Linked DNA regions of Coturnix japonica. The protein of the gene in region 1 interacts with the protein of each later gene in a pairwise test. Links are inferred from orthologs where the notes say so. Each region holds a gene or a part of one and is shown on either strand. Other genes may lie near its edges.

The links.
Region 2: the proteins of CNKSR1 (region 1) and CYTH3 interact in binary tests that used the Homo sapiens proteins (3 or more experiments, as listed by UniProt). The two-hybrid records come from large-scale screens. The link is inferred for Coturnix japonica from reciprocal best matches to the Homo sapiens genes CNKSR1 and CYTH3.

What each region holds. Positions count from the first base shown.
Region 1 is NC_029538.1:257,068-261,116, reverse strand, and holds the end of CNKSR1 (connector enhancer of kinase suppressor of ras 1), read left to right. Parts: intron 1-41; coding exon 42-161; intron 162-275; coding exon 276-355; intron 356-680; coding exon 681-793; intron 794-869; coding exon 870-1,015; intron 1,016-1,170; coding exon 1,171-1,201; intron 1,202-1,293; coding exon 1,294-1,466; intron 1,467-1,546; coding exon 1,547-1,620; intron 1,621-1,722; coding exon 1,723-1,794; intron 1,795-1,875; coding exon 1,876-1,949; intron 1,950-2,104; coding exon 2,105-2,169; intron 2,170-2,243; coding exon 2,244-2,346; intron 2,347-2,621; coding exon 2,622-2,803; intron 2,804-2,879; coding exon 2,880-3,080; 3' UTR 3,081-3,366; downstream 3,367-4,049. Other genes in the region: CEP85 (centrosomal protein of 85 kDa), read left to right, coding at 3,746-3,858. UniProt on the Homo sapiens protein: May function as an adapter protein or regulator of Ras signaling pathways.
Region 2 is NC_029529.1:8,526,642-8,529,556, forward strand, and holds part of CYTH3 (cytohesin-3), read left to right. Parts: coding exon 1-24; intron 25-103; coding exon 104-175; intron 176-303; coding exon 304-458; intron 459-1,354; coding exon 1,355-1,427; 3' UTR 1,428-2,915. UniProt on the Homo sapiens protein: Promotes guanine-nucleotide exchange on ARF1 and ARF6. Promotes the activation of ARF factors through replacement of GDP with GTP. Plays a role in the epithelial polarization.

The DNA.
Region 1 (4,049 bases):
GGGGCCAAGCTGTGACCCTACTCACCTGGTGCCCTTGGCAGGTGGGTTGGACACGCATCAACCTGGTGAAAAAGCTGCTGGAGAAGGCGAGTGGAGTGTCACTTGTGCTGAAGAAGGTGCCCCTCAGCCTGCCTGGCTGCCCCCTGCCCACCAGGCTGCAGGTGAGCATTCCCAGTGATCCCAGTGCCGGACTGGGCTGTGCTGGGAGACAGCCCTATGGGAGGTCATCCCAAAATGCGACAATGCAAGGTGAAGCACTGAGTCTCCATTCACAGGTGCCAGGTGCCCATCTGGATGGTGTGGATCTCCCCAAAAGCAGCAAGTGCCCGAGCAGCCCCTCGTCCCCTGCATCCAGGTGAGCCCCAACCTCGCGTCCCTTCGCCACAGTGCAGAGCCTTTGTGCGAGCAGCCCAGGCAGCTGCCAGGAGTCTTAAGCAACAATATAAACAAAGAGAAGTGCCTCTGTTTGTAATTAATTCACTTGGTAACATTTTAATGGGGAGGGAACTATATTTAGAAATGACCCTTCTCCTCGCCCGGAATGGAAAGAAGCACATCGAGCCGTTGGCTCCGTGGGCTGAGCTCACTGCTGCCGGGAGCTTTTCCGGGCGGGAGCAGTACTGGGAGCCCCACAGCCGGGCAGGGGGCACTGTGTGGCTCAGGGGACCCTTCTCCCCCAGCACCACTGCCGACGTGGACTCAGGGCCGGACCCCACCGCTGACAAGGACAAGCACAGCACAAGCCAGAACAGGGAGGACGTGGGTGAGCTCCAGCCAGCAGCACTCAGCCTCGGTATGGAGTAGGCTGAGGGGAAGGATTCATTTCTCCCCCAAGGACAGGACGCTGCAGCCTTGCTCACTGTTTACAGGTACTGGGGAGGACGCAGTGCAGGAGGCCAGCACCCCACCAGGCACCCCAAGCTCACTGTGTGCCTTCCAACCCTGCACTGCAGAGTGCAGCCCCACAGCAGCCCCCAGGGCACAAAGTGCAGAGCCCAGCCAGACCCCCAGGGAGGTGAGAACTGGTGGGAGCATGGAGCTTTGCGGGGTATTCATGGGGGACACGAGGATCGTGTTTAGGGGCAGCTTGCTGCTGAAGGGTGGGCGAGGTGGGGGTCCCACGAGGCTGTGGGTGCTGCATTGCTTCACATTGCATCTGTCCCCATCCAGGGCAGCCCTGAGACGGGACGCAGACCCAAAGGTGAGTGGGACGCCACTGTCCCCAGGCTGGGGTGAGGTGGGCTGGGGGCTCGTCCCCCTGCCCCGCTCCTGAAGCCCCCCAAAATGCTGCAGGAGTGGCGACCAGGCTGAGCCGCCGGCGGGTCTCATGCCGGGACCTGGGCCGAGTGGATTGCGATGGCTGGCTCCTGAAGAAGAAGGACCATGTGGGCTTCATGGCCCAGAAGTGGAAGCGCTGCTGGTTTGTGTTGAAGGGCCACACGCTCTACTGGTACAACCACCCCAACGTAAGTGAAGATGCCCTCGCACCCTGCCACCAGGCTCTGCTCCAAGGCGGGCAGTGGACGTGGCTGTGTGTCCCCCACAGGATGACAAGGCTGCAGGTCTCATCAATGTGGCCACTTACAACCTGGAGAGCACAAGGGAGCAGAAGAAGAAATAGTGAGTGGGCACTGTGGTGCTGGCAGGGACCCTGCAGAGCAGCGGGTGCTGTGACATGGGGGAGGCAGGACACGGACTCAGGACAGCTTGTGTTCCTTGCAGTGTCTTCCAGCTCTCCCATGATAAGTACAAGCCCTTTGTCTTTGCTGCAGAAACGCTGGCAGATTTGAGCATGTGAGTGATGTAGCAGCCTGTAGTGGTCCTGCTGCAGTGGGCTGGCTGTGACCCTCTGTCTGTCTGGCCTTTTTTCCCTAGGTGGGTCAGCCACCTGATTACAGCTAAGACAAAGCATGCACTGGCCCACCAGCCTGTCCCGCACAGGGAGGAAGGTAACATGGAGGAAGGAGATGGGGAACGGTTGGGAGAATTGGGAATTTTGCCCATGATATGGGGAAAGTGTGAGAAATGGACAGGAGGTGCATGGGGGGGGTGCTGCTGGGACTGCCCCAGGATCTCTGCTTCCATCCTCCCCCATGGCCTCCAGATTGCTACAGCGAGACAGAAGCTGAGGACCCTGATGACGAATCTCCCCGGCACGGCTGTGAATTGGTGAGTGGCCCTAAGGGACATCCCAGGGTGGGAAGGCAGTTCCTTATCTCATCTCCATCCCATCTCTCATCCAGCCAAATAAAAGGCTGCAGAATGCTCCAGAGAAAGGCCAGCTCTTCCAGACTGGTGGTGAATCCAGCAGCCCACAGAGCAGCCCTCAGCCCCATTCACCTGCAGGTAGGTGCTGGTAGGCACGAGGGACTCTGTGTCCTGTGCTAAGAGGAGCACGTCGCCTGTCATCCTGGGTGCATCCTTTAACCAAATTCACAGCTGCCCTCTTTTGAAGCACAGAGGCTAATCCTTGTCTTTGCAGCACTAAGGGGCTGCGTTTCAGTGTTTCTGCCCATGTTGATCTCTGGCCCAAACTCCCCTTTGTATGTGGGTTGTAGGTGGGGGTGTCCCAGTGGGGTTTCAGGGTTGCCTGATGTCATGGCATCCATCTCCATGCTCAGAGCCTGGCGAGGAGGACCTTGAGAGCCTGATGTGGTGCCTGAGGCAGGGCGGGGTGTCCCTCATCGGACGGCAGCGCTTCCTGACGCAGGAGCAGTGCCGCAAGTCCTTCATCCGGCGCAACAAGAACCCCTGCATCAACGAGAAGGTGCACGCGGTGCGGGCCCTGCAGAGCACGCTCAAGGTGGGAACCCACGGCCCTTTCCCAGCCCCTCCTCCTGCCCCAAAACACCCCTGTAATGTGTTCTTCCTCTCTGCAGGCGAAGCTGGCGGAGCTGCAGGCCATCGAGCAGCTGCTGGATGATGCCGCGCTGACCTCTGAGAAATTCCAGCGCTGGAAAGAAGAGCACCAGGACCTGTACCAGGAGCTGCAGGAGTGGTGGGCACAGCAGCAGGGCCAGGACAGCAGCGGGGGACACGAGGCTGAGCAGAGATCCCCAGCAGAGGCAGCTGAGCCCTGACACCCCCCAGAGCCTCCCCAGGAGTCATTTCTCATTGAACTTACAGCAAAGCGGGTGCTCTGCCTGTCCTGGATCGGTGCGGGGGGGGGTTGGTGACACTGCAAAAGGCTCAGCCCCCACAGCGGCTTCTGCTGGATCACCCACAAGGGTGGGACACTGCAGGGACAGCCCTGCTTTTATCTGAGGATGCTTTACATTGAGGACAGGGCTTTGTCCTGGCGGTGTCTGCACCGTGCCTGCAGCCAGCAGCAATTCTGCTGCAAATAAACCGCTGACAGCTGTGCCACGTGCAATGTCCTGCTGTGACATCCAGCCCCACGTACCACCTGGGGAGCGGAGGAGCTGCCAGAGCCTTCCAGCACCGCCCAGCACCAGCACGGCAGGAGCACAAACAGAGCGGAGGGGGCAGGAGGGAGGTGTCGTGGTGGCCTGCAGCTCTCACAGGGGCAGCGAGGAGCTCTGCTCTCTCTGCTCTCTGCTCTCTCTGCTGACGGCCATAAGGCCCAGCAGAGCTTCCAACGCTCGAACCACCGCGGGACACCCGAGCGCGCTGCCGGCACTGCGCACGCGCAACAAAACAACATCCCCGCCCCGCGGCGGCGGCTGCCGGCACTGAACACCGCGGGGAGCCAGCTTTCCGTCCAGCCAATCGGCGCGAGCCGGGGATGGAACCGCTTCTTCCGATTGGCTGCGGGAGAGCGGTGGGGCGGGGCGTCCTGCTGGCTCCGCCCCCCGCCCGGAGTTGTAACGGTCGGGGCGCGCGGGCAGCGCGGGGCAGGTGAGCGGGTTGTACCACACGGTGCGGGTCTGTCACGGCGCGGTGCGCTCGGCTTCCTCCCCTACTGCTCCCCTCTTTGCGGGTCCCTTCCACCTTCTTTTCCCCCATCCTGGGCAGTTGCCCCCACCCGTCTCCCCGCAGGGCCCGGTCAGTGGGAGCGGGGTTTGGTTTGCACCGATTTAAGGCGCTGT
Region 2 (2,915 bases), on another chromosome or scaffold:
CTGTATTACTTTGAATACACAACTGTGAGTATGTGCTGCTGTGAGCTTCCTTTGTCATCTGGGTATGGAAAGGAATAATAACGCTGTACTTTCCCTTTTTTAGGACAAAGAACCTAGAGGGATTATTCCATTAGAAAACCTAAGCATTAGAGAAGTTGAAGACCCAAGAAAGCCAGTAAGATTTCCTTGTTATCGTTTTGTAATGAACTAGTAAATCATTTTGGAACTGGGATTGTGGCAGATGATTTTGTTTCTCAGCTGTTTGTTTTGCTTTGTGTTTAACCTATTTTTCCTACCTTCCAGAACTGCTTTGAGCTCTACAACCCCAGTCACAAAGGCCAAGTGATTAAAGCCTGTAAAACTGAAGCTGATGGCAGAGTGGTGGAAGGCAACCATGTAGTGTACAGAATATCTGCTCCCACCCCAGAAGAAAAAGAAGAGTGGATTAAGTCTATCAAGTGAGTTTTGAGTATAAAATATCTGTCAGAAATGAAGTGTAGGCTCCTTTTCTGCATTGTAACTTGTTTGAAGAGCTCTGATTCGGCAGCATCCTCTGGGATTAAGGACAAGGTCTCTGGGGCAGATGGTCGGGCTGTGTGGTCCTGAGGTCCATAGCAGGTCCTGACTCAAATGAGGAAAATGTTTGTTTTTTAACTTATTATTAGAAGCAAATGCAAAGCCTTTGGAGAACCATCCTTAATCCCAATTTTAGTCCGTTCTTATTTTGTTTGGTGACAGCTATCTTGAGCTTGTTCATCATTCACAATGTGAATTCCTTTGTAAGGTTTATGTAGTAGACCCAAACTTAAAGGAATGAATTTTGTTCAAGTTATGTTTGAGATGGAAGTGTGAGCTCTAACAAATCATAGCTAAACATCCTCTTATAAACCAATATTTTTGATGATCAGAAGAGTTCTTTTCACTGGGAGCAGAGTGCAGCGCTGAGCTCTGCTGTGCGGGCACAGTGACAGGGCCCAGTGATTGACATGGAGCTGTCGGGGGGGGGCTGGATGAGGGTCAGGGGAAGGCGCTGCACCAGAGGGTGGTGGGCATGGACCGGGCTGACCAGGCTGCTGCTCACAGCTCCGTGCTGTCATAGCTCACACTGTGCTTGGGCACCACTCCCAGACACAGGGTTTGGATTTCAGGTGGTCCCAGGTAGAACTGAGAGTTGGACTCAGTCAGTGATCCTTGTGGGTCCCTTCCAACGTGAGCTATTCTGTGACTGTAGGTCAGCAATCTTTAACTTATTAGAAGTGTGGAGTCATCCAAAGGGAAGTGAGAACAAAATAGTTTGAGTTTTCAAAGGCAGAGAACAGTTCATCAAACTGACAACTCACGTTGTTTCTTCTAGAGCAAGTATCAGCAGGGATCCCTTTTATGATATGCTGGCAACAAGGAAACGAAGAATTGCAAACAAGAAATAGGACTTGATCAGTAGCGTGTGTATCTGCATCGACTTCTACATGGGCTACGATGGAGAGATAATGTAAATGTTGGGCAAACTAAAGACAGTAACTGTAAAATTATATATATATATAAATGCATATATATATATACATATACACACACACTTTACTATGACATAAAATCTCAGCAAGACCTTTTGGAGAAGTTATTAGTGTGTAATTTGAAGTAAGCTTCAAATCCCAGAGGATAATTTTCTTGGAACTTAATGCAATTGAAGACACGGAAGCTTTGTTTCCACTTGTGTTAGTTGTAACTACAGTTGGCTTGGACTGGGAAGGAAAGAACAGTAAAATATCCCATACCTGTTTCTTGAGCTCATTGCCCATAAATGGAAAAGTGTTTTAAGTGCTTTTCTCTCAGTTAAATGCAACACTAAAAACTGGACTAGAGGGCAGCCGTGCACATTTCCATAGGCAGGAGACTTGCAGTGTCAGTTTTCAAGTCTTATGTGTCTTGCAGTAAATGAAGCCTTCATTTAGAGCGTGTGCTCCACCTTCTGTATTAACAGCTTTTCTTCTTTGGAAGTGCAGCTTGGTGTCAGGCAGCTACAGCAGTCACAAGTGCCAAAGGGTTGGAGTGAATGCACTGAAACACAGACAGGTCCCAGCAGCACAGGCCTGTCTGCAGCCATGACACTGCGCAGAGTGGTCTGGCATTTGCTAGAAGGCAAAAACTCTTTACAGTCTGCTCACACAATAAGCAGTGAGAGTTAATGACTGACTTAATCTGTTTTTATATAGTTGCATCCTTCCTATGTTTTATATATATTGTAGTTTAACACTATTAGGATTAAAGGAATAAGGTGACAGAGCTTGCGTGAGTTGCAAGGGTTCAGGCTTTGCATGTGAAAACACCCTGAAATCATAATTTCACGTGCACTTCATGATTTTAAGGGAGAAAAACCAGGAAAACGTAATCTTTCTGCAAGATCCAGCCCTAGGGAGGTGAGCAGGCAGCACTGATCCATTTCTTTGCTTGATAACAAACTTGGAACATACAGAAAATGTGGGTATTTTCATTGCATTCTTAGAAGACAGATTTTTCCTTCTACTTCAGTAGCTGAAGTTGAAAATGAGTAGATATCCTTATTTGTACCTGAAGAACATAACCTTACTGTCAGTTACCTCCTGCCATGAGCCCCTGCACGGTTTCTTGTTAACTTATGGAAGATTGTCACAGCACTTTCCTGTTGGCAGCGCACAGAACATTCTTCATTGCACAGTGAGGACACAAAGTGTTTTTACTGCTCTTCTAGCAGTACATTTTTTTCTGTCTCGTTGACCCTGAGCCATTCCTGCTGTGCCAATGGATGCCTGGGTGACCCAGCGTGATGCCAAAGCAGTTTTGCTTCTTGGATATGTGACAGGGAATTCTGCTGCACTGGCAAGATGCTAAGTTATCTTTTGCAAATCTCATTTTACCTTTAAAGAAGTCAGACTTGTGGT